Linked DNA regions of Macaca mulatta. Each later gene encodes a partner of the first gene's protein in a complex. Links are inferred from orthologs where the notes say so. Each region holds a gene or a part of one and is shown on either strand. Other genes may lie near its edges.

Region 1 (6,611 bases):
GCCTGGGCCACAGAGCAAGACTCCATTTCAAAAAAAAAAGAAAAAGTTATTACACTATCAAAAAATAACTTGGAAACCACTGTGTTGTATATAAAGGTGGATTTTCCTTGCAATACCTTCTGCAAGTGGCAGATATTGGGCTTCTTACAGCCCAGTAATGAAACCAGGTAACAACCATGTTAAATTGAAGCTTCCCGCAAAGGTCTGCACACCCTGGCAACTAAAAAGCATTGGACTTTTTGTCTGCTGTGCAGGATTTGCTCTAAAGTGAGTTCACCCCACATAGTGAGACCTTGCTTCCTAAGGACATACTGAGGGATATCTTGACCTTCTGTGCTCAAGAAACTGCAGATGTCTGAAGGGGTACACAGCTGGCCAGTCCCCACAGGGTGTTTCAGAATTGCTCTTCTCTCCACCCACCAGGCCAGTCCACCGTGCTTCTCCAGGCTATGTGGGTTTAGCAAACAGCAGCAGTTGCCTTGGGGCTTGGTTTCTTGGTAATAGCTTTCCTTTTGCCCCTGAGACCTGTGGCAGTGTGCCCAGAACTCCTCCCTCCTGCACACCCCACAGTAGGCACATTCTCCTACTGGCAGCAGATACGTTTTCTAACAAGTAGAGAAAATGGTTTTTCTTGCCCTGCAAGAGGTCTCATAAGATCCAACTATAGCCAAGGCCATGTTTATCACTTGTGGAGCCCTGGCCGATCCTTCTATGGGCACAGAACATTTCTCTCCCACCTAAGTTAGGACCTGCATCCCTGTTTGGGAGCATATGGAAGCCAGGCATCCCAGGTCCAGGAGGTCATCCCACTTCCTGGGCAGTGCTATGCCAGATGAGGGCCTGTCCTCTCAGCTGCAGCATCTTGCAGTGGAAGTGCCTGCTTGTTCACATGAAACAAGTTTCATAGTAAGTAAGTGGAGGTCAGGCCAGCACTGAAACCCAAGTCTGGCTGAACCAACTCACCTGTTCGTATTGCCTTGCTCAATTTTCTGTTACCTCTAGTGGAATGTGAGGGTAGGTTATGAAGCTGTGGTTGGGGAGTGTCACTTCTCTCTGGGTCCTTGTCTTTTAGGTTCCAGTGTGTGTTCCAAGTGCTGCCAAAGTGCCTCAGCCCAGAGACACCCCTGCCTGGCGTGGTGCTGGCTGTTGAGCTCCTCTCCCTCCTTGCGGACCACGACCAGTTGGCACCTCAGCTCTGTTCCCACTCGGGTAAAGCAGGGTGGGGCGGGCGTCTGGACTGCTCCTGCAGATCAAGGGAAGTGTTGGGGTGGGGACAGGGTCAAGGGCCTCGGAGGGCTTCTGCAGCATGTAGCCCAGGCTCTTCATGAGAAAGGGCACCCTGAGTGAGAGGTGCACTGTCCTTTTCAGAAGACTGCCTCCTGCTGCTGCTGTACATGTACATCACATCACGGCCTGACAGAGTGGCCTCAGAGACACAATGGCTCCAGCTGGAACAAGAGGTAAAAACTCCAGAGCCCCTTCTGGACACTGTCCCCACCCCATCCTAAGAACCGACAGAATCTCCTCTTTCTACTGGGGAGAAAAGGAGCTTTAGTTCATTTTAGTAACGAGTATATCAAGCAGCTAAAGAGGTAAACTCAGTTTGGGGGCTGTGCACTACACAGATGCAATGCAGACAGGAATTGGCAGAGTTGCCTGATGACTGAACCTGTCCTGGCTTTGGGGCTTGGGGGCAGGATGGGGGGCTGGAGGCAGGTGGGTTGCTGGTGAGACATGGGTGCTCGTCCTGGGTCTGCCCTGGGAAGGTCCCACACCACTTCTTGGACCCCATTTGTGCAGACAAGCAGTTGCTGAAGTAAGTGAACTCTTACAGAAGCTTGAGAAAGCCCTCACAGGGACTGGTCTTCTTCTGCCCACGATGGAGCTGATCTGTTCTTGTTCTAGGTGGTGTGGCTCCTGGCTAAGCTTGGTGTGCAGAGCCCCTTGCCCCTAGTCACTGGCTCCAACTGCCAGTGTAATGTAGAGGTGAGTAGGCAGGGGCCAACAGCTGGCAGCTCTGTGGGTGGTAAGGGGACTCTGTGCAAGGACTGTAGACCCCACTGCAAACCCCCTCACCTGAGGTGGCTAGGCTGAATGGATTGTTAGGGTGCAGGCCATGGTGGCACCAGACAGTCTGTGCCCCCTCTCTCCCAGGTGGTCAGAGCGCTCACGGTGATGTTGCATAGACAGTGGCTGACAGTGCGGAGGGCAGGTGGGCCCCCAAGGACTGACCAGCAGAGGCGGACAGTGCGCTGTCTGCGGGACACGGTGCTGCTGCTGCACGGCCTGTCCCAGAAGGACAAGCTCTTCATAATGCACTGCGTGGAGGTCCTGCATCAGTATGACCAGGTGATGCCGGGGGTCAGCATGCTCATCCGCGGGCTTCCTGACGTGACCGACTGTGAAGGTGAGCCTGCCAGAGGCCCTCCCGCCCAGCCCCCACGGCTTCTCCCTGAGGTTCCCCAACAACTCATATTCCTGGGCATCCCCTCAGCAGGCCCCTGCCCATTACAGCCTGTTCCGGCACTGGGGTCATTTTCTTTTATCTTCTGCCCCAGTTCTTCTCCAAGCATATTGGGCTGCCTTTTGCTCCTATCTGTTGAATGTGCCTGGCAGAGCCACAGTTTTTCCAGAAATACCTGTGTCTGAATTGCTTTTGTATCACTTTGTTTGCAGTAGCTGAGGGAGCAAGGCCTGGGTCTGGAAGGGACTGGTTAGTTCCTGCGGGCGTTGGGGGAGGAGAGGTGGGACCCGCCCTAGGCCCTGGCACCTTTGGGCCCTCACCAAGAACCTCTCCTTTTTGTCTCAGAGGCAGCCCTGGATGACCTCTGTGCCGCGGAAACCGATGTGGACGACCCCGAGTTGGAGTGTGGCTGAGGCCCTGAGTGTCCAGCCACATGGTGGCACCAGCACCATTCCTTTCCTTACCACATCAACTGATTAAAGCAGTGACCAGCAGGAACTGCCCAGAGAACCGGCTGGCCTTGTTTCCTGAGTCTAATCTCTTTGGCGGAGTGGGAGGGGTGGAGCGGGACCGGGACGGGACCTTGAGTGGCTGGGATCCTTCTTCCTGTCCCTGGCTGCTGCTGATCCCCAGTCCCCATGGTAACCGATCTGCCTTGAGGAAGGAGCCCTGCCTTGCCTGTGGAATTGTCCTGAGTCATTGCTTTGGGCTGGGGCCATGGGAAGAAACCATTGTGTGGCAGGGAAGGAGGTGGCTCTTGGCCCAGGCCTAAACCAGGAAAGCCTGGAAAAGTGGGACCCACAGGTGGGCACGAAAGGGCTGCAGCAGGAGCTCCCAGCAGTGTGTAACACCGGGAGCTGGTCTGGCGCCACTGCCCTGGTCCTTCCAGCTGCCTGTCATTGGTGTGATGGCCCGGTGCATTGTGCCACCATCAGGCCACAGCCGTGGATCTCAGAAGGCCTCTGGGGTCCCCTGGGGGCGGGGAAGTGGGGGTGGGGGGACGGATGTTGGCGAGAGGGACAGACCAGGCAGGCTGACGAGCAGGGCGGGCCTGGCTCACGTGGGGCTGTAGGCGGGCCCATACCAAGTTTCACTTCCCGCCACTGCTGCCAGCGAGAGCCGCGGGAGAGTGTGCAGCAAAGTCACTACTGCCTGCCTGCCTGCCTGCTACGGTAAGTGTGGCTCCCCAAGGGGATGGCGCAGGGCAGGAGGGCCATGGGTTCCCCGACCCCAGACTAAGGGGGCACTAGGGGAGGGGCCAAGTCATGTGAAGAGGGAGCCCTCTCAGACAGTCGAATGTGCTGGTCCCACTAAGGAAACCACCCCACCCTCTCCAACTTCCTGCCTGAAAATGGGCCCTGGAGCTCACAGACAGGGCAGGATTGTGCAGGGAAGGCCTGAGATGTGCTTCTGCCCACCCCCTACCCCACTCCCTCCCCTTCGGATCTTAACACTGGGCACTCACACACCCACCCTATGCTCCTCCCCAGGCTCAGCGGCAGGTCCTACCCAACCATGGGCTCGCAGGCCCTGCCCCCGGGGCCCATGCAGACCCTCATCTTTTTCGACATGGAGGCCACTGGCTTGCCCTTCTCCCAGCCCAAGGTCACGGAGCTGTGCCTGCTGGCTGTCCACAGATGTGCCCTGGAGAGCCCCCCCACCTCTCAGGGACCACCTCCCACAGTTCCTCCACCACCGCGTGTGGTGGACAAGCTCTCCCTGTGCGTGGCTCCGGGAAAAGCCTGCAGCTCTGCAGCCAGCGAGATCACAGGTCTGAGCACAGCTGTGCTGGCAGCGCATGGGCGTCAATGTTTCGATGACAACCTGGCCAACCTGCTCCTAGCCTTCCTGCGGCGCCAGCCACAGCCCTGGTGCCTGGTGGCACACAATGGTGACCGCTATGACTTCCCCCTGCTCCAAGCAGAGCTGGCTATGCTGGGCCTCACCAGTGCTCTGGATGGTGCCTTCTGTGTGGATAGCATCACTGCGCTGAAGGCCGTGGAGCGAGCAGACAGCCCCTCAGAACACGGCCCAAGGAAGAGCTACAGCCTAGGCAGCATCTACACACGCCTGTATGGGCAGTCCCCTCCGGACTCGCACACGGCTGAGGGTGATGTCCTGGCCCTGCTCAGCATCTGTCAGTGGAGACCACAGGCCCTGCTGCGGTGGGTAGATGCTCACGCCAGGCCCTTCAGCACCATCAGGCCCATGTATGGGGTCACAGCCTCTGCTGGGACCAAGCCAAGACCATCTGCTGTCACAGCCCCTGCACACCTGGCCACAACCAGGAACACTAGTCCCAGCCTTGGAGAGAGAAGGAGACCCAAGGATCTTCCTCCAATGAAGGACCCTGGAGCCCTACCCAGGGAGGGGCTGCTGGCACCACTGGGTCTACTGGCCGTCCTGACCTTGGCAGTGGCCACACTGTATGGACTATCCCTGGCTGCACCTGGGGAATAGGCCAAGAAGGAAAATCTGAAGAATAAAGACCCCCCCCGTCCTCCAGCACTGAGTGGTCACTTGGCTCCTACCCTTCTTGGCAGTCCAGACCTCTGCCCACACTCAGGGACCTGGGGAGGAGGGCATAGTGTTTGTCCCTCACTTTCCCTAGCAGGATGATCAACTATCTGAGCTCAATAAAAGTAGGGAAAACACGAGAAGCCCGAATGGTTGATGGAAACAGTACAGCCTGATCCCAATCCCAGCAGCCAGGAAGAAAGGGGACAGCAGCTCCAAACGATTGCATTTATTATAAACAAGAGTACAGACCCCAGACTCAGAAACACAACAGATTTGAAGCTAAGACAGCTCTGGTGAAACAGTAATGGAGGAGGAACACCGAGGTATTCATGTCTGGGCCAGAGCTGCCATCCAGGGCCCCACACCCCACCTTTGGTCCAGATGGCCCCTTGGCCCAGGTGTCCCTGCTGCCAGAACACCCTGGACTGGGGTACCAGGGTTGCATATTCCATGAGGCTGGTGTCGGGGAAAGCAGGGACTCACAGTTGCCAGGTTGTCCGTCTCCTCTGAGCCAATTTCCCTCCACTATCCTGGGGTTTCAGTCTCATATCAACTATCATGTTTAAAACAGAAAACAGGCAAAATGTTTGGCTAAAATAAAATGAAAACACGGCAGGGAAGAGACCTGAGTGTGCTGGTGGACAGGAGCCCTGCTCACCTGTGGGAAGGGCAGGGCCAGCAAGGGCAGCAGAGCTCCCTGTGGGCAGCTAGGCTGTGTGTGGATGTGGCCCTCCGGGTGGTCCCAGGGAAGATGCAGGGACAGGGGACAGTCCAGGCAGACAACTCTCAGGTGAGAAGGGCTCTGCCTGAGGTGTTCTGGCATCAGGAGGCTGCCTGACCCCCAACAGGCACGACACAGGCTCCAGGGAACAATGGGACATCTGCCTAAAGAATCAAAGCCCAACTTGGTCAGATCCCAAGCTTCGCCTGCATCACCTCAAGCAGCAGCTGGCTACACTGCCAAAACCAGGACACATCTGCATCATACAGAAAGCTGCGCCACCCTGGTGCGACAGGCCATACTTGGTCACCCTAGGGTAAGCTGGAGAAGAACTCCAGATGTGCCCTGGAGAACCCCCCCACCTCTCAGGGGCGACCTCACAGGGTGCCCCCACCACCCCATTCTTTGAGTTTGGCTTGAGATTTTAGGAAGCATAATTTCAGGTGAGGAAGAGAACAAAGTCTGGTCCCAGCCCACTCTGGCAAGGATCATTCCCCACCTCGTCAGCATCAGAGGAAGCCACATATACAGGCAGGACACACACAGCACGGCTGGGACATAAGGAACCGTGCCTGCACACCACTCACACACAACATAACCAAGTGGCAGCCAGAGAGGTCGGAGAACACTCAGAGGGCCGCCTTCGGGGCATCCACGTAGGCCGGGTTGTAAGGAGGCTGGCTGGCAGGGTAGGGCGCGGCTGCTCCTCCTGAAAGCAGAGAGGATCCTGGTTGGCTGTGAGCATGGTGGGCTGCCGTATGAGTGGCAGGCGAGCAGAAAGGGGCAGAGGCCTATTCAGTGATGTACTCTGGGATGGGTGCCCGAGGGATGCTGGCAGATACTCAGGGAGTTGGGCAGGGCTAGAGTCAGCAGGGGCACTCACCAGCCAGGGTCTCGTGGTAGGCC
Region 2 (3,327 bases), on another chromosome or scaffold:
GTTGAGGGCCAGGCATGGTGGGTCACGTCTGTAAGCCCAGCACGTTGGGAGGCCGAGGCTGGAGGATCACTTGAGTCCAGGAGTTTGAGACCAGCCTGGGCAACATAGTGAGACCTTATCTCTACAAATAATTTTTTAAAATTAGCCAGGTATGGCTGGGCGTGGTGGCTTACGCCTGTAGTCCCAGCATTTTGGGAGGCCGAGGCAGGCAGATCACCTGAGGTCAGGAGTTTGAGACCAGCCTGGCCAACAACCCTGTTTCTACTAAAAATACAAAAATTGGCTGGGCATGGTGGGCGGGCATCTGTAATCCCAGCTACTTGGGAGGCTGAGGCAGGAGAATCACTTGAACCTGGGAGGTGGAGGTTGCAGTAATCAGGATCGCGCCACTGCACTCGAGCCTGGATGACAGAGGGAGACTCTGTCTCAAAATAAATAAATAAATTTTAAAAATTAGCCAAGTCTGGTAGTGTGTGTCTACAGTCCTACCTATTTGGGAGTCTGAGGCAGGAGGAACACTTGAGCCCAGGAGTTTGAGTTTTTTAAAAATGAGATAGCTGAATTTAATTTTAATGTTCTGTGGTTTTATTATCAGTCAATGCCAATAGGGAGACAATTGATATAAAATTGGAGAAGTACTTTTAGTCCTGTCACTGCTCCCTTCCAGTGTGGAGAATGAATTGGGTTATAACAGAATCAGTGAGCCCAACCACTCATGTTTTACATAGCAGGGTGGATGAGGGGAATTTACATGGATTGTATGTTCTTAGATGGTTTGGGGCCATTCTCATTCTCCGTCCTGTTGAATAGGCCTCTGAAGACCTTCTCAAGGAACACTACATTGACCTGAAGGACCGTCCGTTCTTTGCCGGCCTGGTGAAATACATGCACTCAGGGCCGGTAGTTGCCATGGTGAGTGTGCCTGTGTGAGATACTCCAAGTATGCATTGCTTGTCGTCTGCGCTAGGCTCTCTTCTAGACACTGGGGATACAGTCATGAGTGAGACCAAATAGATATCTATTTTCATATATCAGCTAATGGTTAGTGATAGGCCCAGAAATGAATAGGAGTAGCAAGTGATCACTTTAGAATGGATGATCAAAGAATGCAAATTTTAAGCTGTGATCTGAATGACAAGAAGCAGCCAGCTATGTACAGAATCACAGTGAAAAACATTTCCAGCCAAGCAAACAGCATGTGCAAAGGTCCCAGGGTGGGAATGAGCTTGGCGTTTTGAAGTATGGGAGGAGAATTGAAATGCCCGAAGCCTGATGGGTGGGAGAGAAGTTGGGATGTGAAGAGTTCAGAGGCATGGGCAGGGGCCTCCTCTCTTAGGGGTGTGTTGACCATGTAGTTCCTGAGTGCTGGGAAGCTATGGGACACTTCACACTTGGCCTTTTTTTTTTTTTTTTTGAGATGGAGTCTCGCTTTGTCACCCAGGCTGGAGTGCAGTGGCACAATCTCGGCTCACTGCAAGCTCCGCCTCCCGGGTTCACACCATTCTCCTGCCTCAGCCTCCTGAGTAGCTGGGACTACAGGTGCCCACCACCACGCCCGGCTAATTTTTTTGTATTTGTAGTAGAGACGGGGTTTCACTGTGTTAGCCAGGATGGTCATGATTTCCTGATCTCGTGATCCACCCGCCTCAGCCTCCCAAAGTGTTGGGATTACAAGTGTGAGCCACCGCGCCCTGCCCACACTTGGCATTTTAAGGAGGCTGCTCTGGTTGCTGAATGGAGAGTACATTGTAGAAAGGCAAGCATCAGGGCAGGGAGACCAGGATCCCTAGTGCCGGAATAAGTGGATACTCTAAATATTTGTTCAGTGAATGAATGTCATCTTAAGGGGCCTTTTTATTTTTTCCTATTTTTGGATTAATAGTTGCCAGATTTTCTGCTGAGATGGGTTTTCTTCTTTGACCATATCTTCTTCTGTCCTTGGAGGTCTGGGAGGGGCTGAATGTGGTGAAGACAGGCCGAGTCATGCTCGGGGAGACCAACCCTGCGGACTCCAAGCCTGGGACCATCCGTGGCGACTTCTGCATACAAGTTGGCAGGTGAGATTTTGCTCTTTTTCCCCCTTTTCCAAAATCTGATTTAGTTGCCACAAGGATTTGGGTTTTTGAGGCTGGAGGTAGACATGATACCATATGCAGGTTGATTTTATCGGAGTTTATTGTTTTCCTCCCCCTTAAGTTGGTGTTTGGCTTTGGTTTTTAAAATCACTGTAGTTGTACCTCCGTTACACGAAGTGTAGAACCTGGTACAACACACTTTGCTGGCCACAGTCTTTCCTGAAGGCTCTTACTGTTTGCACCAGTGTGACCGGGAGGGCTGAATGTGGGGAGGGCATTTTTCACCCTTACATGAATGGCCATTGTAGGCTTTTTCTTTTAACATGGTCTAATGTCCATGGAGCTTCAGCTTTTATGCTGCCGTGGCTGTAGATTTCTGGCAATGGGCGCATTTTAATCCTTCTGGTCTTGGTCATGTGACTATCTCTTTCTCCACCCAGGAACATTATACATGGCAGTGATTCCGTGGAGAGTGCAGAGAAGGAGATCAGCTTGTGGTTTCACCCTGAGGAACTGGTAGATTACATGAGCTGTGCTCAGAACTGGATCTATGAATGACAGGAGAGCAGGCTACAATGCTTTCACATCCATTTCTCCTCCTTCCCATGGGCAGAGGACCAGGCTCTAGGAAATCTAGTTATTTAAAGGAACTTCGTCATAATTTGGAAGGAAGCTCTTGGAGCTGTGAGTGCTCCCTGTACAGTGTTACCATCCCCTACCATCTGATTAAAATGCTTCCTCCCAACTTAGGATTCATTGAGTTGGTTACTTTGTATTGTTGTATTTTTTTTTCTTCTTTTCATGTACACTGAATAACCTGACCTAATAGAGAATGTAAATACTATAAAAATTATTTATATTGAGATCTCACATACACACAGGCATTCTTTGCCTGCCCTTCTTAACCCCTGCGTCCCTTCCACTCTTGGCATGGAGCTACTCAACAGGCATCTATGGAGCATCTGCTACATGGCCAAGACTGGACTAGGTGCAGAGGATTCATCAGAAATAATACATGAGGGCTGGGTGTGCTGGCTTGTGCTTGTGATACCAGCTACTTGGGAGGCTGAGGTGGGAGACTAGCCTGGGTAACAGAGCAAGACCCTGTCTCACTAAAAAAAAAAAAAAAAAAAAAAAAATTAGGCTGGGTACAATGACTCATGCCTTTAATTCCAGCTATTCAGGAGGCTGAGGGGAAGAATCGCTAGAGGCCAGTACAAGTCCAGCGTGGGCAACACAGCAAGACACTGAC

Evidence for each region. The genes of interacting proteins can lie anywhere in the genome.
Region 2: TREX1 (region 1) and NME1 share a complex: the UniProt entries of both Homo sapiens proteins name them as parts of the SET complex. The link is inferred for Macaca mulatta from reciprocal best matches to the Homo sapiens genes TREX1 and NME1.

Annotation. Positions count from the first base shown.
Region 1 is NC_133407.1:111,872,198-111,878,808, forward strand, and holds TREX1 (three-prime repair exonuclease 1), read left to right. Parts: upstream 1-3,051; 5' UTR 3,052-3,181; coding exon 3,182-3,496; intron 3,497-3,549; exon of another isoform or gene 3,550-3,636; intron 3,637-3,954; exon of another isoform or gene 3,955-3,979; coding exon of another isoform or gene 3,980-3,991; coding exon 3,992-4,924; 3' UTR 4,925-4,969; downstream 4,970-6,611. Other genes in the region: ATRIP (ATR-interacting protein), read left to right, coding at 1,073-1,209, 1,369-1,460, 1,906-1,986, 2,155-2,407, 2,810-2,877; SHISA5 (protein shisa-5), read right to left, coding at 6,335-6,414, 6,589-6,611. UniProt on the Homo sapiens protein: Major cellular 3'-to-5' DNA exonuclease which digests single-stranded DNA (ssDNA) and double-stranded DNA (dsDNA) with mismatched 3' termini. Prevents cell-intrinsic initiation of autoimmunity.
Region 2 is NC_133421.1:58,843,836-58,847,162, reverse strand, and holds the end of NME1 (nucleoside diphosphate kinase A), read left to right. Parts: intron 1-810; coding exon 811-912; intron 913-1,944; coding exon 1,945-2,057; intron 2,058-2,515; coding exon 2,516-2,633; 3' UTR 2,634-2,827; downstream 2,828-3,327. UniProt on the Homo sapiens protein: Major role in the synthesis of nucleoside triphosphates other than ATP. The ATP gamma phosphate is transferred to the NDP beta phosphate via a ping-pong mechanism, using a phosphorylated active-site intermediate.